7 linked regions of the Macaca mulatta genome follow. The protein of the gene in region 1 binds, or shares a complex with, the protein of each later gene. Links are inferred from orthologs where the notes say so. Each region holds a gene or a part of one and is shown in the gene's direction. Other genes may lie near its edges.

The links.
Region 2: POLR2L (region 1) and TAF1A share a complex: the UniProt entries of both Homo sapiens proteins name them as parts of the pol I pre-initiation complex. The link is inferred for Macaca mulatta from reciprocal best matches to the Homo sapiens genes POLR2L and TAF1A.
Region 3: POLR2L (region 1) and ERCC2 share a complex: the UniProt entries of both Homo sapiens proteins name them as parts of the TBP-based Pol II pre-initiation complex. The link is inferred for Macaca mulatta from reciprocal best matches to the Homo sapiens genes POLR2L and ERCC2.
Region 4: POLR2L (region 1) and GTF2F2 share a complex: the UniProt entries of both Homo sapiens proteins name them as parts of the TBP-based Pol II pre-initiation complex. The link is inferred for Macaca mulatta from reciprocal best matches to the Homo sapiens genes POLR2L and GTF2F2.
Region 5: POLR2L (region 1) and TAF1C share a complex: the UniProt entries of both Homo sapiens proteins name them as parts of the pol I pre-initiation complex. The link is inferred for Macaca mulatta from reciprocal best matches to the Homo sapiens genes POLR2L and TAF1C.
Region 6: POLR2L (region 1) and UBTF share a complex: the UniProt entries of both Homo sapiens proteins name them as parts of the pol I pre-initiation complex. The link is inferred for Macaca mulatta from reciprocal best matches to the Homo sapiens genes POLR2L and UBTF.
Region 7: POLR2L (region 1) and GTF2A1 share a complex: the UniProt entries of both Homo sapiens proteins name them as parts of the TBP-based Pol II pre-initiation complex. The link is inferred for Macaca mulatta from reciprocal best matches to the Homo sapiens genes POLR2L and GTF2A1.

The regions. Positions count from the first base shown.
Region 1 is NC_133419.1:734,164-738,362, reverse strand, and holds POLR2L (DNA-directed RNA polymerases I, II, and III subunit RPABC5), read left to right. Parts: upstream 1-1,380; 5' UTR 1,381-1,407; coding exon 1,408-1,502; intron 1,503-3,411; coding exon 3,412-3,520; 3' UTR 3,521-3,793; downstream 3,794-4,199. UniProt on the Homo sapiens protein: DNA-dependent RNA polymerase catalyzes the transcription of DNA into RNA using the four ribonucleoside triphosphates as substrates.
Region 2 is NC_133406.1:80,428,551-80,432,105, reverse strand, and holds part of TAF1A (TATA box-binding protein-associated factor RNA polymerase I subunit A), read left to right. Parts: intron 1-2,506; coding exon 2,507-2,676; intron 2,677-3,555. UniProt on the Homo sapiens protein: Component of the transcription factor SL1/TIF-IB complex, which is involved in the assembly of the PIC (pre-initiation complex) during RNA polymerase I-dependent transcription.
Region 3 is NC_133424.1:57,890,432-57,894,744, reverse strand, and holds the start of ERCC2 (general transcription and DNA repair factor IIH helicase subunit XPD), read left to right. Parts: upstream 1-1,504; 5' UTR 1,505-1,556; coding exon 1,557-1,561; exon of another isoform or gene 1,562-1,629; intron 1,630-1,854; coding exon 1,855-1,954; intron 1,955-3,289; coding exon 3,290-3,367; intron 3,368-3,444; coding exon 3,445-3,507; intron 3,508-3,696; coding exon 3,697-3,810; intron 3,811-4,313. UniProt on the Homo sapiens protein: ATP-dependent 5'-3' DNA helicase. Component of the general transcription and DNA repair factor IIH (TFIIH) core complex, not absolutely essential for minimal transcription in vitro.
Region 4 is NC_133422.1:24,463,024-24,466,578, forward strand, and holds part of GTF2F2 (general transcription factor IIF subunit 2), read left to right. Parts: intron 1-1,140; coding exon 1,141-1,285; intron 1,286-3,555. UniProt on the Homo sapiens protein: TFIIF is a general transcription initiation factor that binds to RNA polymerase II and helps to recruit it to the initiation complex in collaboration with TFIIB.
Region 5 is NC_133425.1:79,551,562-79,555,733, reverse strand, and holds the start of TAF1C (TATA box-binding protein-associated factor RNA polymerase I subunit C), read left to right. Parts: upstream 1-1,327; 5' UTR 1,328-1,487; intron 1,488-1,817; exon of another isoform or gene 1,818-1,935; intron 1,936-2,465; exon of another isoform or gene 2,466-2,588; intron 2,589-2,780; exon of another isoform or gene 2,781-2,884; intron 2,885-3,263; 5' UTR 3,264-3,370; coding exon 3,371-3,508; intron 3,509-4,172. UniProt on the Homo sapiens protein: Component of the transcription factor SL1/TIF-IB complex, which is involved in the assembly of the PIC (pre-initiation complex) during RNA polymerase I-dependent transcription.
Region 6 is NC_133421.1:68,584,145-68,587,699, reverse strand, and holds part of UBTF (nucleolar transcription factor 1), read left to right. Parts: intron 1-1,202; coding exon 1,203-1,267; intron 1,268-1,545; coding exon 1,546-1,666; intron 1,667-2,024; coding exon 2,025-2,135; intron 2,136-2,471; coding exon 2,472-2,605; intron 2,606-2,730; coding exon 2,731-2,872; intron 2,873-3,146; coding exon 3,147-3,188; intron 3,189-3,280; coding exon 3,281-3,394; intron 3,395-3,484; coding exon 3,485-3,555. UniProt on the Homo sapiens protein: Recognizes the ribosomal RNA gene promoter and activates transcription mediated by RNA polymerase I (Pol I) through cooperative interactions with the transcription factor SL1/TIF-IB complex.
Region 7 is NC_133412.1:154,446,070-154,450,259, reverse strand, and holds the start of GTF2A1 (transcription initiation factor IIA subunit 1), read left to right. Parts: upstream 1-1,357; 5' UTR 1,358-1,433; coding exon 1,434-1,463; intron 1,464-4,190. UniProt on the Homo sapiens protein: TFIIA is a component of the transcription machinery of RNA polymerase II and plays an important role in transcriptional activation. TFIIA in a complex with TBP mediates transcriptional activity.

The DNA.
Region 1 (4,199 bases):
GAAATCCCAAGTGTGCAGTGGATCTGGCCAGCACCACTCTGGATCCAGAAAACCCTTCATCCTCCTCCCCTGCAACTAAGGCAGACCCAGCATTGCCCTGAGAAAGCGGCAGCTGATGCCTGGAACCCAGCACAGGTCCCACCCCAGCTGGAAGCCCCAGCCCAGAGCCCCCCCATGGGTGCCACTTTGCAGCCCACCCACCCCCCCACAGCCTACCTGGCACCTCCAAGGAGTCTTCTTTGCCTCCTACTGCACACCGACCCCCCATTTCCTCACCCCCACCCTAGGGGCACAGCAAGGAGGGTGCTGGTGCCAGCCCCCCCGCACTCCATCCGAGAGACACGGGCTCCCCCTCCCTCGTCCTCCGTAGGCCCTGAGCTCCAGGGCAAGGCAGAGCTGCGGCCTTCAGCGGGTCCTGCCAGTGCAGCCTCCGGGAGTCTGCCCAGGGGTCCCCTGTGCCGGGGTCTTCAAGGTTCAATTCAAAGAGCACCTCTTCCACGACGCCCTCCCCGACCTCCCTCCCGGGCCCCCTCTCCCCGTGCTCAGAGGCGCGTCTCAGCGTCGGGACGGCCAGCAGCCCAGCAGAGCCGGGACCGGGGAGGGCGCACCCCGACCCCCTTCCTGGGAAGGAGCGGAAAGAACGCGGACAGGAGGCCGGGGCGGGGAGCAGCCGGCGGGGGCCGTAACTGCGCGGCCGAGGCCAGGACGGCGCTCCTAGGGGCTGGGCCGCGTCCAGAATGGGACCCCCGAACTCGGCGCCGAGAGCCCCGGACACCCCGCGAGTAGAGGCGGAGGCGGAGGGACCCACTACCCGGCGGGGCCAAGAGGGGCAGCAGGAAGACCCGCCCCGGTCCGCGCCCGCCCTCTCCCCAAGCCCCCGCGCCGGACCCCACTTGTTGCTGCGTGTCGGCTCTAGGCTCGAACTCGCGCGCCCCGCTCGCGTCCGGCTCCAGCCGCTCCCGGTCGGACACCTCGGGCCGCGAGACCCTGGCCGCACGCCCCCACGACCCCCCGGGCGCTCTACCTGCGCCGCCGCCTCCCGCTCGCTTCGTCCGCTCCCTCCGCGCAGCTGTCAGTCAAGCGGACACGAGAAACGCGAACCGCCACCGCGGCTTTCGGCCCTGCTCAGACGCCGTAGCTCCGGGACGCACCAAGATGGTGGGCGGGGGTGTGTCGTCTGTTGCTGCCGCGGCCGTGCAGGCCCAGGAGCCCCGGGCCGCATGGGGAATCCCCATGGCGGCGGAAACTGCGGCCAGCTGCGCCGGGGCCAGTGTATGAACGGCTGGGGCAGCGGAGAACGAGCGGAGCCGGTCCCCCCGCGATAGTGGACGCGCCCGGGGCGGGGCCTGGGGGGAGTGCTTCCCGTGCGGCCGGACCGGGCCGGGCAGTCTGGGACGCGCCGCCGCCATGATCATTCCTGTACGGTGTTTCACTTGCGGCAAGATCGTCGGCAACAAGTGGGAGGCCTACCTGGGGCTGCTGCAGGCCGAGTACACTGAGGGGTGAGGCGCGGGCTGGGGCCGGGGCTGGGGGCTGAGTCCGCCCTGGGGTGCGGGCCGGGGCGGGAGGCGCAGCGCTGCCTGGGGCCGGCGCTCCATGAGCAGCTTCATACCCGGCCACTCCGGCCCAGCTCTGTGATCTGCTTTCGGGAGAACATTGTCCCCTGAAGTCTGGGGAGAGAACGGAGTTGGGCTTCAAACCAGTGGTGTCCTGGGGATTCTAGGTGGCCTGGCGGGTGGCAGGCGTCTTGTCACCCGCAGTAAAGCCCTTGGTCTCCGTCCTAATCTCTCGTCTCTGCTCCCAGACCCACCCCATGTCCTGCAAACCTCGCTGCAGGACGGGCGGGCGCGGCGGCTCACGCCTGTAATCCCAGAAGTTTGGGAAGCCGAGGCGAGAGGCTTGCTTGAGCCCAGGAGGTCGAGACCAGCCTGGACAACCTGGGGAGACCCTGATCTCCAGAAATTTTTTCTTTTTTTTTTTTTTTTTGGGGACGGAGTCTCGCTCTGTCGCCCAGGCTGGAGTGCAGCGGCGCGATCTCGGCTCAGTGCAACCTCTGCTTCCTGGGCTCCAGGAATTCTCCCCAGTCGCCGGGACTACAGGCGTGTCCACGCCCGGCTCATTTTTGTATTTTTAGTAGAGATAGGAGTTCGCCATGTTGGCCAGGCTGGTCTCGAACTCCTGACCTCAGGTGATCCACCTGCCTCGGCCTCCTGGAGTGCTGAGATGACAGGTGTGAGCCACCGCCCCTGGCCCTCTTATCTTTTTAATTCCCCGGACTTGGTGGTGCACACCTGTGGTCCCAGCTACTTGGAAGGCTGAGGCGAGAGAATCGCTTGAGGCTGGGAGGCAGGTGAAGATTTCAGTGAGCCGAGATCACGCCACTGCACTCCAGCCTGGATGAGAGAGTGAAACTCCGTGTCACGCACACACACACACACACACACACACACAGAAAAAGAAATGCAGGGCAGACTTGCTGACCACCCTCATCATCGGGCTTTGTGGGGGAGGCATCCTTCTCCTGTGCTTGTCCCTCGGTGCTGCTGTCACCACCGTGCCTGAGTCTTGGTGCCCCTGCTGGAGTCTGACCCTTGCCTGCTGAGTCCTGGTCACATGTGAAACCCCAGGCTCGTGTGTGCCAGCCTGCCATAGGCTCTCAGTGCAGCTTGCTGGACGAATGAGTAAAGCGAGTGGGCTGCCAGAGTGAGTGGCTGGTGGCCTGTCCAGACCCTTTCCCAGGGATATGAACTGCAGGGGCCTCCCATGTGGCCTCCCCTTTCCCAAGCTTCTCTCTCTGCACATTGGAGCCATCAGTGTGGGAGTTTTCTGGAAGTATTGATGGTGACTGGACCTTGGTCCCAGGGAAATTAAAGCTTCTAATTGGCTTGGGAAATGGGAGAGGTGGCTCCCTGGAGAAGCAGTCTCTCCCTGATTGAAGGAAGCAGAGGTGAGAAAAGACGCCACAGTGGCAGAGTAGGGCTTGCTCTGGGGTGGGGGATGAACCAGCTAAGGGCAGGCCCCTGGAGAGCTACCCTGCTGTGGCTGGTGCGGGATGAGGGGAGCTGCGCATCAGGACCTCGGTGGCCTTGGTTTTCTATGCTCCCCCAATTACCTCTAGTTTTCGTTTCATTTATATTTCTTACATATGTTAGACACACATATGTACAGCCAGAGTAGGTGGGAGAGAAGGCTCCTCACGCTCCACCCAGGGATCTGGGCATTGCCAGGTTACTCCAACCAGGATCATACCCCTAGGTCTCTACTTCTCATCCAGGTGAATGTGTTCGCCTTGCCGGTAGCAGGGGAGTGAGGCCAGCAGGCAGTGAGAGGCGGCCTGGATGTGGGCTCCAGGCCTGTGCAGACCGTGGAGAACTCAGCTGGCCTCTCTGTTCCTCCCCTCGCTTGACACAGGGATGCGCTGGACGCCCTGGGCCTGAAGCGCTACTGCTGCCGCCGGATGCTGCTGGCCCACGTGGACCTGATCGAGAAGCTGCTCAATTATGCACCCCTGGAGAAGTGACCAGGCTGGAATCCGCCTACCTGCCATGCTGACCATGGGCCATGAGCATCCTGCCCCAAGTTCACAAGGCTGAGGCATCCAGGAGCTGGCGCAATGCCTCGCCACAGCGTGTGTGTGTCCCATCCCCCACTCTGGAAGGAACAATCCAGTAAAGGTCTTTCAGAACTACCAAGGTCCCAGCCCTCACTAGGATGTCAGGGGCCAGGACTAGGCCCAGCTCTCACACCGCGGCAGCCCAGGGAAGCCGACTGGGCCATGAATTCTCCTAGCCCTGGGGCCAGCCTGTTCCACAGGTACCCCTGCAGGAGGTGCTGCCAGGAGAGCCTTCCATCTCAGGGCTGAGGTTCCCTCCTTCTGGGTGCTCTTCAGACTGAGCAGAGGCTCCTGTACTCTCTCTCTTGGAATCTGAAGAGCCAGATTTAGGCCAGGCACGGTGGCTCACCCCTATAATCCCAGCACTTTGGGAGGCCAAGGCGGGTGGATCACGAGGTCAGGAGATTGAGGCCATGCTGGCTAACACGGTGAAACCCCGTCTCTACTAAACATACAAAAAAAAAAAAAACAGCCAGGTGAGGTGCCGGGCGCCTGTAGTCCCAGCTACTCGGGAGGCTGAGGCAGGAGAACTGCTTGAACCCGGGAGGGGGAGCTTGCAGTGAGCCGAGATTGCGCCACTCACTCC
Region 2 (3,555 bases), on another chromosome or scaffold:
TATCTTTTGGCATTTTGAAGGGCATGCCCAGCAAGCCCCTTAGAACAAAAACTTTGAAGACAGGGCCAGTCTGGATTGAAGCTGTATGATGAGTACCTGCAGTAGTGCTTGGCACACAGTGGTGCCCAAAAAATATTTGTTGACAGACTGATAAGTTTCCAGATTCTTTGAGTAGCATATTAGAAGTTAGGTTGATGACACTAGTTCTTTATTGTACATCTCTATTCCATGTAAAAATGTGTTTTCCTTGACCATTTTTTTTTTCTTAAAGTTATCAGGATCAAGTAAGACTATCTTTTGCTCATTAAAGAATGAAATGAGAAGAGAACTTTTCCTGAGGTAACTAGGCTAGGTTGGAAGACAAAAGTATTTTCCAAGCATTTAGGTATAGTTATCTAAAGTCCATTTGTAGTCTCAGTTGTGAAAGCTTGAGCGATAGAAGGGAGCTTAGCCTGAGAACAGTTCTCTCCTTTAGGTAAATAAAAGATGTTGTAAGGATGAGGTGTTTTGTCAGTTTCCTAGGCTGGCTGGCTGGTATTGCCACCGACGCTGAGCAGCTTTGGTGTGGGGATCTTATAAAATGCAGCTGCTGATTCAGAGAGCTGGGCATAGTACTCTGTAGTTGTAATGAGATTCCAGGTGATACTTCTGCTGCATGTTCCAAGACCACATTGAGTAGCACAGGCAGGTCCCCAGGTGATTTGTATGTACGTTCAAAAGTCTGAGAACACTAGCGCAGTAGTCTTCAAACTTTTCACTTTTGTATCCCCTACTTTTTTCTGAAAAATTGAGTACTACCTTGCACAGTTTTAAGGAATCATCTGAAAATATTTTATTGTATGTTTAATATTTTCAAGAGTTGTAATTTCCAGCACGTTGGTATTTTTAAATGAATATATATTACTTTATATGTGATGGAGTCCAGATAGCATAGGAGTGACATACAGTTTTAATACCTTGCATTATCCATTTAAAAATTAAGAAAAAGTTTTTAATAGATGGAATTTTATGTTCCTTTTTGTTGTACTTCTTGCAATAAAAGTTATGTATCAACATTTATACTTTTTTGTGTTTATATCCTATAAGTTTTAAGAATTAAAACTTTTCTAGGTTGAGACGTTGCTATCATTAATAGTTGTACATAGCTGATCAATATTACATGTATTAAAAGTGTTGCTGGCCAGGTGTGGTGGCTCATGCTCATAATCCCAGCACTTTGAGAGGCCAAAAGGAAGGATCACTTGAACCCAGGAGGTCAAGGCTACGGTGAGCTATGATTGTGCTAGTGCGGTCCAGCCTGGGTGACAGAGCAAGACTCTCTCTTTTTCTTTTTTTTTTTTTTTTTAAATAAAGTTATCTAAAACTTTTTCCCAATTTTTTTTTTATATATTTGTGGGTGACTTTTATGTATTTCTAGGATGAGAAAAGATTTAGCATTGATTATGCTATTTTTTTTTAACTGACATAAATTCTGAGAAACCTTAGTCACATAAGTAAGAAGATGGCAGTGAATGGAGTTTAATTATAGCCATGCATCAGGTCCTTGAATTTCTTCTAAATTATTCATGAAAAATTACATGATTTATTGTAAAAAATTATGTTGTTCTGCAGTTTTGATAAGCAAAGAATTGGGAATTGGCTGACTTGCCAAAGGAGATGTTAGAGTTATTTACTTTTTCAACACCTGTGTTTTCACCTTCAGATAATATGTAATGATTTTGATTGTGAAGCTTTGACTATGTAGGCACAGCTGTCTAGGAGATTAACTTGTGGAAAGGGTATGTAAGGAAATCAAAGATCTGCAAGTTAATTGTTTTAAAAGTATCTTTGCAAAGTACCTGTTGGTCTTTGTGTACTTACTGGGGTACAATTACCCAGCTGGACTAGAGGGGTCTCGTAGTTCTGTGGGAAGAGAAGAAGAGGTAGCAATGTAACTAGTCATTTATATAATAGCCCTGTATCTAAGCCCAAATGTTCTTAACATTGGGATTGCCAATACTTTAGAGATATAAATGTTTATTTTTGCAACTGTTTTAATCTCATTTGTATTTAATATCATTGAGTTACTAGGAATTTGGTCCTTAAAAAATGAAAGCCCACTTGGAGTTTGCAGAACATGGGTAGGTAATAAAGACCATGTTTGCCTAGAATGACCTGGCATTTTACCCATTCTAAATACCTGGGACTGTGCTTTTGGGGGCCTGTTTGAGAGATTCTACCCAAATTATTTAGCACAAGGATTAAAGGATGATTGAATCAGATTTAAAGGCTCTGATGACTCTAGTAGCCCCAAAACATCAAATTAGATATTTTTTTATCTGCTAAAAATAATTAATATAATGTAGAAGGGTTTGTTTCAAGTGAAGCTGGCTTTGATACTGGAAATGGGCTGGATCAAGTAATGCCTACTGTTTACTTGTTAAAACTTCTCATCAGAAGTAAGTTTTTTGAATAGTTGAACTGGAGCCATTGTGGATAAAAACTCTTTTCTTTTTCATTTTTATAGCCATTGGAGGGAAAAGGAAGAAGGATTTTGCTCAGACAACAAGTGCTTGTTTAAGTTTTGTCCAAGAAGCTCTGCTGAAGCACCAATGGCAGCAAGCTGCAGAATACATGTACAGTTATTTTCAGACCTTGGAAGATTCAGATAGCTACAAAAGGCAGGCTGCACCTGAGGTAAACAAAGTTTGAGTTTGCTGGAAGAAATGATAGATTCCCAGGAGTTTCTGCCTCCAGCTTCACCTTCACCTATAGTACCTTTTACAGAATCTCAGTGATTTTGCTAAAAGCTACTAAAACTACTTTTGGGTGGAGAGTTTGTATTGGGACCTTATTTACATACTTCTTTTTACCTGTTATTTTAAAGGAGAATAAAATATTCATTCCAATAATTCTTCCTTTTCCCCCCTCTTTATGGATGTTTCCCATCATCATGTAAAAATTTTGTTACTCTTTTTTTTTTTTTTTTTTTTGAGACAGGGTCTTGCTCTGTCGCCAGGCAGGAGTGAAGTAGCACAATCTTGGCTCACTGCAGTCTCCACCTCCTGGGTTCAAGTGATTCCCCTGCCTCAGCCTCCTGGGTAGCTGGGACTACAGGCGTGCACCACCACGCCCGGCTAATTTTTTGTATTTTAGTAGAGACGGGGTTTCACCATGTTGGCCGGGATGGTCTCAATCTCTTGACCTCATGATCCGCCCACCTTGGCCTCCCAAAGTGCTGGGATTACAGGTGTGAGCCACCATGCCCAGCCTATTCTGTCTTAAAATCGTCTTTTGGCCCAAACTTCCCCCATTGACTATGCTTCCTAGTTTTACTCTCTTTCAGCAAAACTTCTTGAAAGAGTTGTTCTCTTTTTCCAACCAGAGTGATCTTTTTTTTTTTTAGTTTTATCAAGACGTTGTTAATACACCACCATCCATTTAAATTGTACGGTTCAATGTATTTTCATATGTTTACAGAGTTGTGCAGCCAACCATTACCACACTCTAAATTTAGAACCTTTTTTTCTCCCATGAAACCAAAACCCTGTACCTACTTGCAGTCTTTCCCCATCC
Region 3 (4,313 bases), on another chromosome or scaffold:
CTCCCAGGTTCAAGCAATTCTCCTGCTTCAGCCTCCTGAGTAGCTGGGATTGCAGGCACATGCCAACATGCCTGGCTAATTTTGTATTTTTAGTAGAGACGGGGTTTCTCCATGTTGGTCAGGCTGGTCTCGAACTCCTGACCTCAGGTGATCCACCCACCTCGGCCTCCTAAAATGCTGGGATTACAGGTGTAAGCCATCATGCCCAGCCAAAACTAGCATTTATTGAATGCTTAGTATGTGCTAAACCCAGTTTTAACTGCTTTATGTGATCTGAAATTAACTCACCTAATTAACAGACTATCTACAATAGTAATATGTAATTAACAATAGTAATAGTCTCTAATTAACAATTAGATTATTGTAATGCTACAATGTAGCATCACCTACATTGTAGATAGTCTGATTGTTAACTACTTTGCAGATACAAAAGTGTAACCCCAGGCCAGGTGTGGTGGCTCACACCTGTAATCCCAGCACTTTGGGAGGCCAAGGCGGGCGAATCACGAGGTCAAGAGATCAAGACTATCCTGGTCAACATGGTGAAACCCCATCTCTACTAAAAAAAATACAAAAACTGGCCAGGTGTGGTGGTGTGCCTGTAATCCCAGCTAATCTGTAGGCTGAGGCAGGAGAATTGCTTGAACCTGGGAGGTGGAGGTTTGAGTGAGCTGAGATCACGCCATTGCACTCCAGCCTGGGCAACAAAAGTGAAGCCAGGATTATGAACCCAGGAATTTTGGTTCCAGAGCCCACAACTTAGCCACTAAACCACACTGCCTTTTCGTTATTCCCTTATTAAAACACCTATCACAGTATTTGGCAAAAAGTAGGTGCTCAATAAATAGGAAGAGCTGTTTATAAGTTATTTATACCACAGAAGTCTGGGATACATCCTGTATTTTATATCATTTTGACCATGTATATTATTTTATTTTGATTTGTTTTCATTCATTTGTTTTTATTTTATGTTATTTAAAAATTATTTGTATTACTTTTTTTGTTTTACAGCACGTATTTTATAAATGCATTTTTGGTGCTGCAAAGCCATTTCTAACTCTCGGGCCCAGAAAGGATCACCAGTGTCCCTGTCATTCTCCGTTAGAATCTCTATTCGCTACTGAGACGAATTTTTTTTGTTTGTTTGTTTGAGACCAGGTGGAGGGGCGGGGGTTCTCGCTATCTTGCTCAAGCTGATCTCGAACTCCTGGGTTCGATCAATACTCAGACAATCTTGGCAGGCGCAGGAGGACCAAATTCTAGCGAATGAGATCGATTCTCTCGGATCTCTCCCTTCCATGTTTTCTTTTTGATTGGCCCTCGACGATCCTCAGTGACGCCTCCCGAACCGCCTCTCCCGAGAGTCAGCAGCCCTCGCTTTTCCGTGCGCACGCGCAGTATCCCGATTGGCTCTGCCCTAGCAGATTGACGGGCAGATCAGCCAATGGTCTTGTAATATAGGTGGAGCGAGCCCTTGAGGATGTCCACGACCCGGCCTCTCGCTAAATATTCATGAGGGAGGCGGGTGGACGCCACTGCACACTCCGGCCGGCGCCATGAAGTGAGAAGGGGGCCGGGGGGTCGCGGCTCGCGAGCGGGCGCGGGGGTGTCTTGAAGATGGGGTCACCGGTGGGCGTGCCTGGGTCCCCAGTGGGGCCAGGGGAGGGTGAAGGGGTGGGGCGGGGGCAGCCGCAGGGAACAGCGGTGATAGCGAGGAGGCACTGAGGCTCCTGAGGACCTGAGGGTTACCAGGGGCGCCGGGCAGGTCACCCTTCTGGGCCCGACGACCGGGCAGTGTGGAGGCGGGAGAGGGGCTGAGGGGACGGGGATTGACCCAGCAGCCACTGCCGCCAGGCTCAACGTGGACGGGCTCCTGGTCTACTTCCCTTACGACTACATCTACCCCGAGCAGTTCTCCTACATGCGGGAGCTCAAACGCACGCTGGACGCCAAGGTGGGTGGCCGGTGGGCCCGACCCGCCCACTCGACCAGTGGGGCTGCCACGCCTGGGCCTAAGACAGATTGCAGGACGTCTGGATTTTAGAAGTAGGAGGTCCTTGGAAATCCAGGACCCCATAATCTTCCGTTATCTAAAATAATAATGGTGAATAGGCTGGGCGCGGTGGCTCGCGCCTGTAATCCCAGCGCTTTGGGAGGCCGAGGAGGGCGGATCACTTGAGGTCAGGATATCGAGACCAGCCTGGCCAACGTGGTGAAACCCCGTCTCTTCTAAAAATACAAAAATTAGCCAGGTGTGGTGGCGGGCGCCTGTAATCCCAGCTACTCAGAAGGCTGAGGCAGGAGAATCGCTTGAACCCGAGAAGCGGAGGTTGCAGCTAGCCGACGTGGCGCCATTGCACTCCAGCCTGGGCGACAGAGTGCCACATTGCACTCCAGCCTGGGCGACAGAGTGAGACTCGGTCTCAAAAATAAATAAAATAATAATGGTCAATAGGCTGGGCGCGGTGGTTCAGTGCCTGTAATCCCAGCACTTTGGTGGGAGGTGGAGGCGGGAAGATCACTTGGGGCCAGGTATTGGAGACCAACTTGGGCAACACAGCAAGATCCTATCTCTACGAAAAATTAGAAAATTAGCTGGGTGTGGTGGTGCTTGCCTGTAGTCCCCACTGCTTGGGAGGTTGAGGCAGGAGGATCGCTTGAGGCCAGGAGTTGGAGGCTGCAGTGAGCCATGATTGTGCCGTTGCATTCCAGTCTGGGCAACAGAGTGAGACCTGTCTCTGAAAAAAGAAGGGAGAAAAGTTCACTATATATCAGCTACTGTGCTAAATATTTAATGTGCAATTTCTCACTAATCTTCACAGTCATGTTATGAGGAAGGTTTTATTATTAGGCCCATTTTATTTTATTTATTTATTTTTGAGACAAAATCACAGGTGCACGCCACCACTTCCGGCTAATTTTTTGTATTTTTAGTAGAGAAGGGGTTTCACCATATTGGCCGGGCTGGTCTCGAACTCCTGACCTCAGGTGATCCACCTGCCTCGACCTCTCAAAGTGCTGGGATTACAGGCGTGAGCCACCATGCCCGGCCTTAGGCCCATTTTAGAGGTAGGGATACTGAGGTCTGGGGAGGTGAAGGTACTCACCTAAGACCACTCAACAAGGAGGAGGCAGAAGTGGGTTTGAACCCCACTGCCCAATTTTAACTGCTGCTGTGTTATCCTGCTGTTCCAAGTTGGTGGCATTGGAGGTCAGGGAGAGTCCCCAGAGTTTGTGTGCCCGAGGTTCTGAGACCCTGTGTGTTGTCCCTCTGGTTCCCAACATGCAGGGTCATGGAGTCCTGGAGATGCCCTCAGGCACTGGGAAGACAGTGTCCCTGTTGGCCCTGATCATGGCATACCAGCGGGTGAGTGATGCATTGAACCCGTAAAGGCAGACAAAAGAAGGGATAGGACAGGGACTGAGTCCACTTGTTATCGGCAGGCATATCCGCTGGAGGTGACCAAACTCATCTACTGCTCAAGAACTGTGCCGGAGATTGAGAAGGTGAGCCTGGACTCATCCTGGTGCTCCAGCTCCACTGTTCCCTAGGCCCTATTGGTCCCCCTGGTGGTGGCCATCACCAGCTTTCGGGGGTGTCTGGGAAGCTCGGGAAGAGGCTGGGGCCTGGCAGGGCAGGGGTTTGTGCCTCCAATGAACACAAGCTCCCCCTGCCCCCCCCCAACTTTGGAGTAGGTGATCGAAGAGCTTCGAAAGTTGCTCAACTTCTATGAGAAGCAGGAGGGCGAGAAGCTGCCATTTCTGGGGCTGGCTCTGAGCTCCCGCAAAAACTTGTGTATTCACCCTGAGGTGAGCACCCGTCCCTTCTCCTTGCCCTTAGCCCAGAGGTAGAGGAAACTCTTTCGTCCAACTGCAAGTCCTGGATCCCCAGGCTGGACCTCTTGCAAAGGCATGCAGTGGCTGCACACAGAATTCCCATCTCACTGGTCAAATTCTCATTCATCGTGGCCCAGGCAAGCACACCTCCTCAGGGAGTCTTCCAATTCTACCCAGGCCTGGGAGAGGTTAAAAAGGCAGCTCTTAGAGTCTCTGGAAGACCTGGTTTCCTGGCTCTGAAACTTACCAGCCGGGTATTTATGGAGAGGCGTTTTCTGCTGCCTGGGCCTCAGTCTTCCTTTCTGTAAAATGGGGATAATTATGTGCCTGCCTCATAAGGTCGCTGATGATAAAATTGGATGAAATGATGCAGCCGATGCCCTTAGCATGTACAGAGAACTAAAAGAATGTTAGAAATTCACGGCTGGGCACGGTGGCTCACGCCTGTAATCCCAGCACTTTGGGAGGTCGAGGCG
Region 4 (3,555 bases), on another chromosome or scaffold:
TCTTCTATAAGCCAGGCACTCTGCTAGATCTTAAGGATATAAAATATAGTAAGACATGATCCCTTGACCTCAGACCTCAGAGATTTTTAGGAAAAAAGAAAAAAGATGATTTTTTTTTTTTTTTTTTTTTTGAGATGGAGTCTCATTCTGTCATGCCTGGCTAATTTTTGTATTTTTAGTAGAGACAGGGTTTTGCCATGTTGGCCAGGCTGGTCTCAATCTCCTGACCTCAAGTGATCCGCCTGCCTCGGCCTCTCAGGGTGCTGGGATTACCAGCACCACTGCGCCCAGCTGGAAAAAAATAATCTTACCCCTGTTTTGGAAAGAGTTCTTCAGCCACAGACTAGAGAAAACATGAAAACTGTCTTTTTTTATGATGGTAGATTAGCCCCATTGTTCTTTTTGTTTTTGTTTTTTATTTTCTTACTAGTTGTAGTAATTTTTATTTTATTTCGGGGGTACATGTGTAGGTTTGTTACATAGGTATGTTGCATGATGCTGAGATTTGGGCTGATATTTATCCTGTCACCCAGATAGTGAACATGGTAACCAATAGGTAGTTTTTTAACTCTTGGTCTCTTCTCTCTTTTTGGAGTCCCTAATGTCTATTGTTCCCATCTTTAGGTCCATGTCTACCCAATGTTTAGCTCCCACTTGTAAGTGAGAACATGTGGTATTTGGCTTTCTGTTTCTGCACTAATTCACATAGGATAATGGCTTCCAGCTGCATCATTGCTGCAAAGGATGTGATTTTGTTATTTTTTTATTAGCCCCATTATTCTGACAAACGGGAATAGATTGTCTTTCTCTCTTTTGATTTTTTTAAGAGACAGGGTTTTGCTGTGTTGCCAAGGTTGGAGTGCAATGGCTTTTCATAGTGAACTACAGCCTGGAACTCCTGGCCCAAGGAATCTTCTTACCTCAGCCTCCCAAGTAGCAGGGATTATAGGTGTGCACCAGTGTGTCCAGTTTACATTCTCTTTTTGTGAGCAAGTATTAAGGAGTTTTTAATAAAGTTAAAGTGTTTAATGAAATGACTGGAAAACACATTTAAAAACAATTTGATTTATAACTAAAATTTTTTTATATGTAGTTTGAATACAAAAGTCTGTTATAATCTCTGGTTAATGTGTCTATTAGGTGTCATTTACTTTGAATGAGGACCTTGCAAATATTCATGATATTGGTGGAAAACCGGCTTCAGTCAGTGCTCCTAGAGAACACCCATTTGTCTTGCAAAGTGTCGGAGGACAGACATTAACAGTGTTTACTGAGAGCTCATCAGGTAAGTGGGAATGGAATTATTTAATGTGATTCCTGTACTTGTTGTATAGATTTTCTGTCTCAACATACACTCCTGTTTGCTTTTTTTTTTTTTTGCGATGGCGTTTCGCTCTCGTTGCCCAGGCTGGAGTGCAGTGGCACAATCTCAGCTCACTGCAACCTCCACCTCCCAGGTTCAAGCGATTCTCCTGCCTCGGCCCCCCGAGTAGCTGGGATTGCAGGCATGCACCACCATGCCCGACTAATTTTGTATTTTTGGTAGAGACGAGGTTTCTCCATGTTGGTCAGGCTGGTCTCAAACTCCTGACCTCAGGTGATCCGCCTGCCTCTGCCTCCCAAAGTGCTGGGATTACAGGCGTGGGCCACCGCACCCGGCCTCCTGTTTGCTTTTTTAAGGTCATTACCAAGACTGTTCCATCTCTCATTTTGTGTACCTCTGTTATTCATACTATGCTACTTCTCTGCTCTGTGTACTTTCTTGTGATTAATGAAATTTTGGCCATTACTTGAGAAGGGTTTAATTATTTGGGATATGAAGATATAGAACAAAGCAGATGGAAGAATGTGGTTCATCAAGCTGCCTTCTCAGATGTTGAAGAAACAGTATTCTGAATTTTGCCAAGATAAGGTCATCGTTGCTTGTTTTAGTAAATTGATATTTAGCAAGTATAAGTTGTACTTTAAAAATACAGCTCGATATTAGGGAATATTTTAGTCTGAATTTTTCATCTTGTATGCTTTGTATACCAAGGGGACCTTTTTATTGCACAGAGATAACTTTTAATTGATATTGGCTTCTAAGAAGTTTCTGTGTAGAGTTTTAAGATTGTGTGTGTTTGCAATGAGATATTTTAACAGTTCAATAAATCAGAAGCAAATGTTTCCATTTGTGAATTAAATACAGAAGGAACTTTCTTGTGGCACACACTCAGCATGAGTATATTTTCCATGTTTTGGGATTTTTATCTTTCACTGAGTTTAGAATACTATTAAAGCAACAGGCCACCTTAGTTTAATGGAGCTAATTTTCTGCTATCTGGTTCAAAAAGCTTATTGATAAAAGAAAACATTTGTGATTTTGTTGTATTTCATCAAACATTGCAAAGGAAGCTATAAGAAATTATAGTATGTTAAGAACACCATTGGTTAAAAAAAGGTACATCCTCATAAATTTTTTTGTGGTGTCTTCAATTACCAATAGCTACATAAAATGATCTAAAAATTATTCTTTTTTTCTTGGGTGTACAGTATAACAAAATGGTAAATTATAATTCTTCAGTTATGTAGTTGAAGGTAGAAGGTTGGTTTCACTGCAGTTTTCTGATGCTCTAATAATTAATAGTGTAGTAGTATGGAAGGCAGAAAAGTAACAGTTTCTTCAATACATCCATTTTATACTGGAGAAGATTCAACCTTTCAACAAATATTTATTGCATGCTGCATAGTTCAGGGCATAGTATAGACCTATCTAAAAATCTGAAATTTGTCTGAAATTAAAAGCGCATTTGAATTCAGTATGTTAAAGAGTTTTAGTTTTGGCGGGGCGCGGTGGCTCGTGCCTGTAATCCCAGCACTTCAGGAGGCCGAAGTGGGCAGATCACCTAAGGCCGGGAGTCCGAGACCAGCTGGGCCAACATGGTGAAACCCTGTCTCTATTAAATAAAAAATTGGCCAGGCGTGGTGGCGGGTGCCTGTAATCCCAGCTACTCAGGAAGCTGAGGCAGGAGAATCGCTTGAACCCAGGAGGTGGAAGTAGAAGTGAGCCGAGATTGCACCACCGTACTCCAACCTGGGTGATGGAGGGAGACTCAATCTCAAAAAAAAAAAAAAAGAGTTAAGGAGTTTTAGTTTCAACAACTCTATTCCTTTTGATTGATGAGATTTAATAAGATCCATTGAACCTGTGAGGTTTTCTCTACTTTTGTGATTGTCCTAGAGTGGAAGAGGCATGGCACCAAGATAGTAAAAAGGAGACATCGCCTTGATAAAAGTTTGAGGTAGGGAAACTTGAACTTTTTTTTGTAGAAAAAAGTACCCTATTACAGATTTTTTACATCTTATTAAGTGACTAATTTTTTGAAAACATGATTTATTTCTGGTGCTTCTACAAAGACAGTGATTTAGAAAGCTAACATTTGTTAGCCTCAAAATTAGTCTTCCATTTTACATTTTAAAAATACTTTAGTGTTGTGCTCTTTTTGAACATTTCGTGTTCACATTTCTGGCTACAGTGTACTCTGAAGGGAACGTGGTTTTATGAGGATTATCTTG
Region 5 (4,172 bases), on another chromosome or scaffold:
AAGATTCAAAACCAGAGAGATGGCCTCATGAGAAGAATCCAGCTGGCATTGCTGGCTTCGAAGATGGAAAGGGGTCATGAGCCAAGGAACACAGGCAGCTTCCCGAAGCCAGAAAGGGCAACACAGTGGACTCTTCCTTAGAACCTCCCAAAAGGAACACAGCCCTGCTGACACTTTTAGTCCAGGTAAAAACTTCCAGAAAAAAAATATATAGGCCAGGCACGGTGGCTCATCCTGTAATCCCAGCACTTTGGGAGGCCAAGGCAGGCGGACCACTTGAGGTCAGGAGTTCGAGCAGCTTGACCAACATGGTGAAACCCCACCTCTACTAAAAATACAAAAATTAGCCGGGCATGGTGCTGCAGGCCTGTAATCCCAGCCACTCGGGAAGCTGAGGCAGGAGAATTGCTTGAACCCAGGAGGCAGAGGTTGCAGTGAGCCGAGGTCACGCCTCTGCACTCTAGCCTCCATCTCAAAAAAATAAATAAATAAAGATACAGATGACAGCTGAGAATTTGGAAATTGATTATTTGAAGCAACGGTTCTCAAAGTATGGCCCCTGGACCAGCACCATCTGGGAACTTGCTAGAAATGCAGACTCTTGGGCCACATCCCAGACCTACTGAATTAGCAAATCGGGGGGCAGAGGTAGGGTGGAGCCCAGCATACTTATAACAAGTCCCCCAGGTGGTTCTAAGGCTCACTCAAGTTTGAGAACTACTATGTTAGGATAATGGTAAGGTTTATGACTGGACAGCGGTTCTTACAGCATGTGCCCCAGATATGCAGTATCAGCATCACCTGGGAACTTAGGCAAATTATCAGGCCCCACCCCAGACTCACCGAATTGGAGACTGTGTTTTAACAAGCCCCCCAGGTGCTAATGCTGACGCACACTAGCTAGAGTTTGAGGACCACTGCCTAAAGCTCTCCCTGCACGACCACCCCTGGAAAAGCCTCACTCTTAGGAGGTATTTGTACCCTTATTTGTGAAGCCCGCTTCTTGGGATTTAAGGACAATCAGTAGGATACCTACTGACTAATACAGTGTCTGGCTTATAGTAGGTGCTCCGTGAGAGTTCGTTAAATGATTAATTTAATACAACGCTGAGGAAATTGATGAAGCAGATGTGGGATTCGAACCTAAGTCCACCCGGCCTCCACTATTGGAACTCGAGGGAGCTTTATTTCCGCAGCCCACGCGCCGCCTGCACGCCCGTTCCCTCTCCTCCCGGGAGGGGGCGCGCCAGGACCCTAAGAGGCCTGGCTGGGAGGTGGGACTTCCTGCCTCACCAGCAGGCACTTCCGGTCCAAACCGGAAGACCGTGAGTAGCTGCGGCGGGGCTGACCCATCCTGAGTGCCAAAGCTGGGGTTCTGCTTAAAATTTCCCTCGTGGTGTCAGGGTCCGGCGAGCATCACGCCGAAGCCCATTTTCCAGACGACCACGACGAGACCGGGGTCACGTAAGTGCATGCGCCCCCTCCGCGCGGACTGGGCATGTTCGAGAGGAGTGGACCCGCAGATGTAGGAGGGGAGGGACTCCCTCAATCCCCCGTCCCCGCGGCTGGCTCACGTTTCGCAGTCCCCGGCCTGTCGTTAGTGCGGACCCGACTGAGTCCTGTAGCCTGGGAGGTCTAAAGGGGCCTGGAGAGCCCGCAGCGAGGGCGGGAAGCCGGCCGGGGATGTCGAGGCTGCCTTGTCTGAGGGCTTCTGTGGGGTCGTGCGCTCCACCAGCCCTCTCCGCCTGCCTAGGATCGTTTCAGGCTATGCGGTTCCAAGAGAAAATATTTTTGTTTCTATTTTATTTTTGAGATAGAGTCTTGCTCTGTCGCCCAGACTGGAGTGCTGTGGCATGATCCCAGCTCACTGCAACCTCTACCTCCCAGATTCAAGCGATTCTCGTGCCCCAGCCTCCTCAGTAGCTGCGATTACAGGTGTGCACCACCACGCCCTGCTAATTTTTGTATTTTTAGTAGAGACAAGGTTTTACTATATTGGCCGGGCTGGTCTCAAACTTCTGGCCTCAGGTGATCCACCCGCCTTGGCCTCTCCAAGTGCGGGGATTACAGGCGGGAGCCACCGCACTCGGCCGAAGGGAAAAGATTTTTGTTTCGCGAGACTCTTAATGCTAGCGTTTGCATTTGGGTGCATGCGAGAGCAGTGGTTCAGAGCTCTGCCTCTGAATCGGATGGGAATCAAGTCTTGGATGTGGCAGCTAAGAGCTGTTGAACTAAAGTTCTTGCTGAGCCTTGGTTTCCTGAACTCCGTGACAGGGGCTGCGGTAGAAGAGTGCAGCATTTAGCTTGCGCCTGGCAGATAGATGCTGGCGCTTGGTCAGTGAGAGCTGCTGTTATTTTTGCCCCTGTTTTGTTTTGTTAATTAAAAAGGAGGGATGCTATGGCTGCTCATACTTCTAGAGGACTGTATTTACCAAAGCCTTGTGATATAATTTTTTTTTCTCGAGATGGAGTTTCGCTCTTGTTGCCCAGGCTGCAGTGCAATGGCGCGATCTCAGCTCACTGCAACTTCCGCCTCCCGGCTTCAAGGAAATCTCCTGCCTCAGCCTCCCGAGTAACTGGGATTACAGGCATGCGTCACCACTCCTGGCTAATTTTGTATTTTTAGTAGAGACCAGGTTACTCCATGTTGGTCAGGCCAGTCTCGAACTCCCGACCTCAGGTGATCCACCCGCCTTGGCCTCCCAAAGTGCTAGGATTACCGGCATGAGCCACCGTGCCCGGTCTCTTGTGATAGAAATTTATTTTTATTCAACCCGTAGTGCATTTTCTGGGAGGCACTGTGGTTGACAATAGGAAGACAATGCTGAGATGCAGTCCGTGGCTGTGGAGTAACTCCAGCGTCTTGGGGGTGTAGTCTGTAAATGTATGATGACGTTTTGAGCTGTGAGAGAGGCTGCCCCTTGCCGTCTATCTGACTCCATCTCTACCGCTCTCCACCTCGCTCACTCTGGCTGCCTCGTTTCTCACACACTTCACTGCTCTAGGATTTTCCCAGTTGTTGATCGTTTTGCCTGGAACCCTCTCCCCATTTGTGTACGTGGTTCTCTCCTTCACTGGGTTCAGGCTGTGCTCAAACGCCACCTTCTCAACGAGGCTTTTCCTGGCTGGCTTTGCTGAAACCGTGCCCTCAGCCCATTACCAGATCCCCTTCTCCTGGACGGGTGGTTTGCTTTAATACAGTTCTCATTACTGCTTGGCATTGGGCTACATATTTGTTTTTTGTTACCTGCTTCCTCAAAGAGCATGTGCTTCCCATCGTGCACTTTTCTCTCCGCAGGAACCCTGGCGCCCCTTACCAGCTTCCAGTCTCTCGAGGTGGCCAGTGTGGTGCTTGGTCCTTATTTCCGGGATGGACTTCCCCCACTCCCTCCGCCCCGCGTTGTTCATGACTGGACCCCTTGGTCTGAGCGACATCGCTGACCTCTCTTTCACGTGCAGCTGGCAACATGCGCTGACTCTGCCGGAGACCCAGCCCCAGAACTCAGAGGTGAGGATGGAGGCAGCGGCCCTGGCAGCTCCAGGAACACCCCTTCCTGGGTCCCCTGTCTCACATTCATACCGGTTGAAAGGCCACAGAGTGGGGTGGCATTCACACAAGTCTGCTGAGACACAGGCTGTGCCACCTCCTCTGGGGCACGTGGGCTACCCTGCCATCCCTAGACGGATGCCCCCACTATGCCAGATGCCATGTGAGACCCTGGAAATGCTGCCTGAATCAATCGGTTGACCCCTTCCTTCCTGGAACGGAGAGCTGAGTTGAGCGAGAATAAACAAGTGAACTTTATCCAATGGATAAGGTGTTTGCAAAATGTGATCAGAGCTTGGAATGAAACCAGAAGGATGCTGAAACAGCGTAGTAGGATTGGGAGAGGGGAGGATAGACCTGCCAGGGTTTCTGGTGCCTCTGGAGGGACACTGGCCCTTTGCTTAGAATCCTCAGCCCCCTAGTTCCCCTTGGAAACACCCTGTCTAGGAATGAGGCCTGGCAGAGGCAAATGGATGAGCAAATAAAAAGAGAGTGGAGTGGGGGCTTGGGGAACAGGGGTCAGGGATGGCTTCCTTATGAGGGAAGGTCTGACATCAAATTGGGGCTCCTCGAGGAGTCTGGTTTGCTAGATCTGTGTCATTTGAGCTGAAACATCTCAGGCCAG
Region 6 (3,555 bases), on another chromosome or scaffold:
AACTGGTAGAGTGGATGAGGTGCTGTCCTGGGGGGCACAAGACTTGGGCCTGTTCTCCTGGCTCTGCCACTGAATCGCTGTGTATGGGGCCTTTGGTAAGTCATTTTACTTCTCTGGGCCTGGTCCTTATGTGAGGTGAGCCAGGTCTGTGTGGTGTTCTCCAGCTCTAAAACTGTTTTGTCTGAGGAGGACTGAGATTGGAGAAGAGGAGGCTGAGCTCTGCTTCTGGTTTTCTGTGGGAACTATGGGAAAGGAGCGCTGCCTCTCTCTGTCTGGTGCTTCTATAAGAGGCGGGTTGGGCTCAATTGCCATGAGCTCCTGGCACCTGCCAGTGCCACTCTTGTGAGCCTGCGAGGATGAAAGAAGAGATGGACATTGCGTGGCAGCCAAGAGAGGAGGTTGATGAAGAGAAAGAGACACATTGGAAAGGAGGAACAAGAGGGAGACTTTGCAGAAGTGGGGAAAGATGCAGGGAGGGAGTGAGGTGAGGGTGGGAAGGCAGTGGGGAGGCCAAAAAGGGGGTGATGAAGGGAAGGGAAGCCAAGTGGTGGGAGAGAATGAGTGGGCTGAGGGAGGGAGGGCTGGAGGGGACAGACAGCTGGGATCCTAGAGAAAGGGAAGAAGGTAATGGTGTCAGAAATAGGCGGGAAGGTGCAGGGCAGCTGGCTGTGACTTGTATTGGAAGAACTTACTCTGGGTTCCCCTCCACACAATCTCCCCTCATGCCTTGGAAATAGGACTCAGCCCAGCCCTGGCCCCATGTAGAGGCCACCTCCAAGGGGCCAGACTAATGTCAGCTGCCTCATAGACAGTGAGAAGAGGGAGCAAGGCCTGCACCCGACTCCACTGTGAGAGTTCTGTGGTATTGGAGAAACGAGTGGGGGAGCCTCAGCGCTGCCACCACGCACTGTGTGACTGTGGGTAATGCCATGGCCCCCTTCTGGGACTCTCGCTCAGAAGGAGAGAATAGGATATAGGATTCAGTGTCTGGGCAGCCCCTGCAGCTCCCACCATCTGTGGTAGAAGCCAGCAGGTCTGCTCTGTGGTGAGTCCCGCCGGGAGGCGGGCAGGGCACCAGCCTCCACTCCCTGCATCACAGCGTGGGAGGCAGAAGAGCCAGCGAGGAGGGGCCTGGGTAGCCTTCATAGCTCAGGGCAAGATACCCTTGGGTCCTGGGTGACCCTATCCCCTCCTCCCCCCAGATGAAATATATTCAGGACTTCCAGAGAGAGAAACAGGAGTTCGAGCGAAACCTGGCCCGATTCAGGTAAGGCAGTGGAGCCCAGAGGAGGGCTATGGGGAACTGGGGGCAGCAGAATAGGCTAACCCTGGCCAGAGCCTGGAGTTTGCCATCTCTGAGGCATGGAAGAGGATGGGTCACATGTGAGCCCTAGTGTGTCATGCTCAGGGGCAGGGACAGGCAGGCAGCCACTGTCCCACTAAGCCCCAGCTGAAAGGCCCAGGAGGCTTGGTGGGTGGGGCAGCTAGCTTGGGTCTGCCCTGACAGCGTCCCCTGCTGATCCTTGCTCCCCATGTCCTGGCTAGGGAGGATCACCCCGACCTAATCCAGAATGCCAAGAAATCGGACATCCCAGAGAAGCCCAAAACCCCCCAGCAGCTGTGGTACACCCACGAGAAGAAGGTGTATCTCAAAGTGCGGCCAGATGTGAGTGTCCGGCCAAGGGCTGGGGATGGAGGATGCACGGCGGTGGCCAGGGGGGAGCCGCACCAGGTCGGCCGGGCACGGTGCAGGGGAGCAGGAGAGGAGGCCCCTCCCCAGGGGTGGGCTGCATGGACAGGGCCCGGGCCAGCTGGCGTGCGAGCGTGTGCGTGCGTGCGTGTATGAGCCAGTCCCCTTGCACCTAGGCGGGATTGCCGCTCTCCGCCTTCCCCTCCTGGCCTGTGGGGGACACTGATGTGACCTCCCATGGCCTGAGGGGGCGGGGGCATCTGTGCCCCCTTCCCCCCTCCCCCTCCCCCTGCCCCTGGCTGCCTGTGCGTGTCTGACGGCTTTTGGTTTGCAGGCCACTACGAAGGAGGTGAAGGACTCCCTGGGGAAGCAGTGGTCTCAGCTCTCGGACAAAAAGAGGCTGAAATGGATTCATAAGGCCCTGGAGCAGCGGAAGGAGTACGAGGTTAGGCTTCCGCTGCGCTCCTCCCTGTCCGGCTCTTCACGAGCCTCTGCCCTCTGACTCCGTGGCCACCGCACTCTGCGGGAGGTGTCACTCCCCATCCTCTGTTGAGGGAGGGGCCTTCTGGGCCCCTCACCTCTGCCCCTACCTTCCCCACCCCCCACCCCTATGAGATCTCAGGCTAGGGCAGGGCAGGGCACCATGTCTCATGTGACACCATTGACGCGCAGCCATTCCCAGCTTTGCTCCCTGCCTGCCCTCCCCAGCGGCTCTCCCCGTGCCCCTGCCGCAGCTAACCCCACACCCCATTGCCCTCCATCCCCCCACCTGGCTCTGCAGGAGATCATGAGAGACTATATCCAGAAGCACCCAGAGCTGAACATCAGTGAGGAGGGTATCACCAAGTCCACCCTCACCAAAGCTGAACGCCAGCTCAAGGACAAGTTTGATGGGCGACCCACTAAGCCACCTCCGTGAGTGCTGCCCTGGGGTGGGTGGGCGAGTGGGCAGCTGGGAAGTTGGGCTGGGCTCTACGGGTGAGGCGGCCTGCTGTCCTGCTTGCTCACGGGCTGCGCCTCTCTCCCCATGGCTCTGATAGGAACAGCTACTCGCTGTACTGCGCAGAGCTCATGGCCAACATGAAGGACGTGCCCAGCACGGAGCGCATGGTGCTGTGCAGCCAGCAGTGGAAGCTGCTGTCCCAGAAGGAGAAGGACGCCTATCACAAGAAGTGTGACCAGGTGAGCTGTGGCAGGGGCCACCCTGCCTTGGGGTTTTGAAGCATGAGGTCTGATCCCATCTTGGGCTAGTCAGTCCCTGGTGGCGTGTGCCTTGGGTACTTGCCTCCAATTCGGTGTGGGGCTGGGCTGGGCTTAGCAACTGAGCCCATCCAGGCAGGGAGTCCAGCCCACACCCAGGCTCTGGAGGCCCACTGAAGGTCACTGTCCTCCGAGTACTGCAGGGTCTGTGGTGACACTGTCACCAGAATGATCCTGACTCCACTCACTTTCCCAGAAAAAGAAAGATTACGAGGTGGAGCTGCTCCGTTTCCTGGAGGTAAGTGTTCCTCCAGTAGGGCAGTGGGCAGAGAGGACTGGGGCTTGGCAGGCAGAGCCCTCGTGAGCCCTGTGCCCCTCTTTCCTCTCCAGAGCCTGCCTGAGGAGGAGCAGCAGCGGGTCCTGGGGGAGGAGAAGATGCTGAACATCAACAAGAAGCAGGCCACCAGCCCCGCCTCCAAGAAGCCAGCCCAGGAAGGGGGCAAGGTGGGCAGAGGGTGCGGCCGCGCAGGCGGGGGTGGGCAAGACTGGGCTCCCTGGCAGCACCACGGACCCCGACCCTCTGCACCTGGACAGGGCGGCTCCGAGAAGCCCAAGCGGCCCGTGTCGGCCATGTTCATCTTCTCGGAGGAGAAGCGGCGGCAGCT
Region 7 (4,190 bases), on another chromosome or scaffold:
TATAAAGGCAGGATTTGCTTGGGCAGAATAGGTCAAAAGCTTATTGAATTGCACATGGAACACAGCCTGCTTGCTCTCTTATAGCGAGAGGCCATGAGAGTTGCTGGGTCAAGGGCATGCATTTCAATGTGATCAGTCACTATACGTTGGCCATGCGGAGTCGCAGTTTTTGGCAATATTTTTAAAAACCAGGGAAAGTTACTGTGCTGTTATAATCCAAAGGCTGGTGGGGTTTTCTTCCCCACCGCATCTCCACTAGCGTGATAAATTAAAGTACGTGGGCTAGTAGAGAACTAACCTCTGGGCAACTTAAGCCTAGTCTTCGCAGCGTACCCAGTGTGGAAACAAACGAATCAGAGGTTACTAATTCTGGAATGTTAAAAGTGGGCCCCGATCGGCGTTTACTCCCTTTGGGAAATCCTATACAATTCTGCGCGCGAAAGACCCACCCTTGGTGAGGCGCGAAAGCCGAGAAGCTTATAGTCAAAGCCTCACTGACAAATCAAGAGATGACTCCGCATTTAAAACCTTCCCGAATAGGAACGCGCCAGAGGCCGGAAGCTACGCCACGTGACCAATCCTCCTCCGCGGCCATTCCTAGTGAGGCAGTAGGCACCGCCTCTCACATTTCCTAACTCCTACAGCGCGGGACCGGGCGGAAACCTGCGACAGGAGGCGGTCCCACCTAGCTTCGGAGTGTCACTAGAACTCGCGTCTTTTCCAGCAATGCTTTGCAAGTACTTCACCGCAAAGAACTGCCGCAGACTTCCGCCTGGGTGCCAACCACGTGATCAGGCGAGCGTTGGAGAGGCGTAGGTCCGACTACACTAGTTCACTCCCCGGGCTCCGCCAGCCCAGCACCCACCACGGCGCGTGACAACGCGGCTCGCGGCGGCCTCCGCCCCGGCGCGCCTGCGCACGCGGCTCTCGCGGTGTCTCGCGCTCAGCCCCGCCCACATCTGCCCCCGCCCTTTCCGCCCCTCCCTCCCCCTTCACCCTGTTTCTCGGCGGCGGCGGCGGCGGTGGCGGCTCGCGCAGCTTGTTGGCTCGCTATATAAAGGAGAGAAGCGGGCGGACCGGACGGCTGGAGCTGCAGCCGGTGGCGGCAGCGGCGGCGCAGGGAGCGGCGACCGGTGGTGGTTTCCCTCCTTGGCGCGGGGTGGGGAGCGGGCAACGCCCCCCGGACCCCTAAAGGGTCGTGGCTTTTTTTTTAAAGGCGATTCTCGAGGTTTTTAGCTGCGGGAGGAGTGCCCCCCTCCTCCTCTCTCCGCTCTCCCTTACTCCTTCAGGATTGATTTTGTTTAAAATTTTTTCCCCAATCTTGTGGTGATTTGGGTCACCCTCCGGGTGTTTTAGTTTTTTTTTTTTTTTTTGGTTTTGTTTTTATCTTGTTTTCTTGGGGTTGCCCCCTCTTGTTTGTGTTGTGTGTGGAAATGGCGAACTCGGCAAATACAAACACCGTGGTAAGGACGTGGTTCGGTGGCCGGCGGGGGCTTCGTTCAGGCGGCAGCAACGGCCGGACCGGGCGGGGGCGGGGACGGCGGCGACTCCCGGCCTCGACTCTTCAGCCGTCCGCGCGGCCGCCGCCGCCGCCGCCGCCGCTTCCCGCCTCGGGCGGATCGGGCCGGAGCGCCGGGCGGCGGGCGCGGGGGGGCGCCGAGGGCTCGCGGCGCGGGGAGGGCGGGGGCGCCGGCGGGGCCTGGGGCAGCCGCGGGCCGGGCCGGGCCGCGGAGGCCGTTGGGCCCGGGCGGGCGTGCAGCCCCGGCCCCAGAACCCGGCCGCCGGGAGGGAGGGCGGGAGGGGAGCCGCCGCTTCCCCGCGAGGGGCCCGTCCGTGCTGTCTTGACGAGGGCTCCCCGAGCGGCTGCAGAACAAAAACCGTGTCTGGGGAATCGGGCGAACCCCCGAGACCCACCGTGATCCACTTTAATGCAGTGGAAGAATAATGATTACTTTGGGGGTTACTTAGGTTTTTTCTGGCTGTTGTGCTTTGGGAACCTTCACTGGGGCCATTTTATGTTTAAAAAAAGGAGGAAGGTTGGTTGAAAAGCACTTATCTCAGTTCCTTCCGAATGGGTAAAATGGCGAAGGGGAAGACCCCCATCGTATCTTCGACTAGCAGAAGCACCAAAACAAACAAAAAAAGCCTGCAGTGGTCCAAGTGTCCCCGCTTTCGCCTTGAAATTTACCTACTTCTTCCCGTTGGTCCCTTTTTGGTTACTTGAGATCACGTAGGTTTGCAAAAAGCAGTCACATAAATAACCTTTTCAGTCACCAACGCAATGTGATCACTAGTCCACCCAACTCTTATTTTTATGATGACAATAAAACACGTTTTTGCCCTGTCCCAAATGCCGCAGACCAGCCCGCGGCCGCCCGACACCGTACCGTTGGCGACTCGGGTCGATCCATCATGGCTGCGGCCGCTTACCCTGCTTTTCAGTCCCTGAGCCTTGTGGTCCTCCTCCCTTTGGCTGCCCTGTTTATATAGAGCCATTGCCGCTCTCTAATATAGACTCTGCCAGGATGGGAAGGTGCTTTTCAGTACTACGTCACCGCCTCTCCATTTAAACACCAGATCCGGCTTTAAATAGTGAGAGCTGCTGAGAGCGGGGCTGGGAGGTGCGTGCTCCCGAGGCGAGAGCCAGGCGCGTGCAGAGCTCAATTTATTTCTAGGTCCTTTTTTCACGCTGTAATTTCTCATCCGTCGGGGGCTGCTTTCAGAGCCCCAAGTTTTGGTTTTGTTCCTAGCAGCAGCCAGGATTTGCCTTCTTTGTTTGCTAGGGGAAATATATCCGAATCGCTGTCCCTTTTTATTTTGTTTACAGTTTTCAAAATTTATAATTTAAAACAAAGAGTTTTAGATAAGATGGTCTAGCCGTTTTTCTTGTGTGCATTATTTTCGGGAATTTAAAAAACTGTTTTCTACACTGAAAGTGTTAGCTGCAGAGGACTCGGTTTTGGTAGTGTTTTGTTTAAGTATTCAAGAAATATGTTAGAAATATAGCTCCCAATATTACATTATGTTTTCCTATAGTAAATATAAAAGACACGAGGCTTTTCAGAGAAATAGATAAGTACCTAAAGCTTCAGTATAGGACCATTTATGTGTATGAGAATCATGAGTAATTACAGGGAAGAGACATGCTGCAAACTGGATTAAAAAAAATTCTAAGTAGAACTTTATTGCCTTGGATATTAACATGGATATCCGGTGTAAAAATTATTCCAGTTTATCTTCCAGCATTGCATCAGGGAATTAACATTTTTGAAGGAAACCTTCTAACAAATCACTTAATGCCACTAGTGGCCCTCTTATTTACCAGTTCTTAAGTTTGAAATAACCTGTTTTTTAAAAATCAGGATAAACCTAAATTGTATTTCGTGATAGAAGCTTTGCCTGAAATATAGCGTAGAATTTTAAGTAATAATTTAGAAATTTCTTGTTTCGAATACTAACTATGTGCCCACATACTTTTCAAAAATTACCTTGAGGGCTTTTCAAATTGTGAACAATTCTGCTAAATTACTTATTAGGCATGTATTTTGTGAAGAGTACACATTTCCCTTCCTTCAACTATAGAGCTTATGAAGCTGTTAAGTGGTCAAGTTGTGAGTTCATTAAGACACAAAAATAAAATCTTAAATAATGATTCATTAAGTAGAGAGTACTAGAAGAAAGCAGATTTATACCTATACGTGTCTGGATCTCCAGGCAACAGGTTTTTAGAGGTAACTGACTTCAGAAACACCAAAACACCGTCTAGTTTACTGAAAAGCATACATATTGTCAATTTGAGATTGATATTCCCAATTTAAAATATATTGCCCTCCTGATGTCTTGAGGAGTCATTGTTGGTTAAAACACACACACACACACACTTTACAGAGATACTTTTGTAATTCAGTTAAGTCACTTTAGGCAAGATGATGTCCATAGTCAGATATACTTTCCTTATATATAGAATTAGAATGTTAAAGTAGGGACTATAGAAATGTGCATTTTACAGATGAACAAACTTCAAGAGGAGGATTTGGCAAAATAAAGCAGGTTAGTGAGTGAAACAGTAAAGCAAGAACCCGGATATTTGAATTGGTTTTCTTGTAATGAGAAGGACTAAATAGTTTTTAATGGTTGAGGTAAATTGTACTGACAAACTCATTTGTATTTTGTTTGTTTTCTGAGACAGG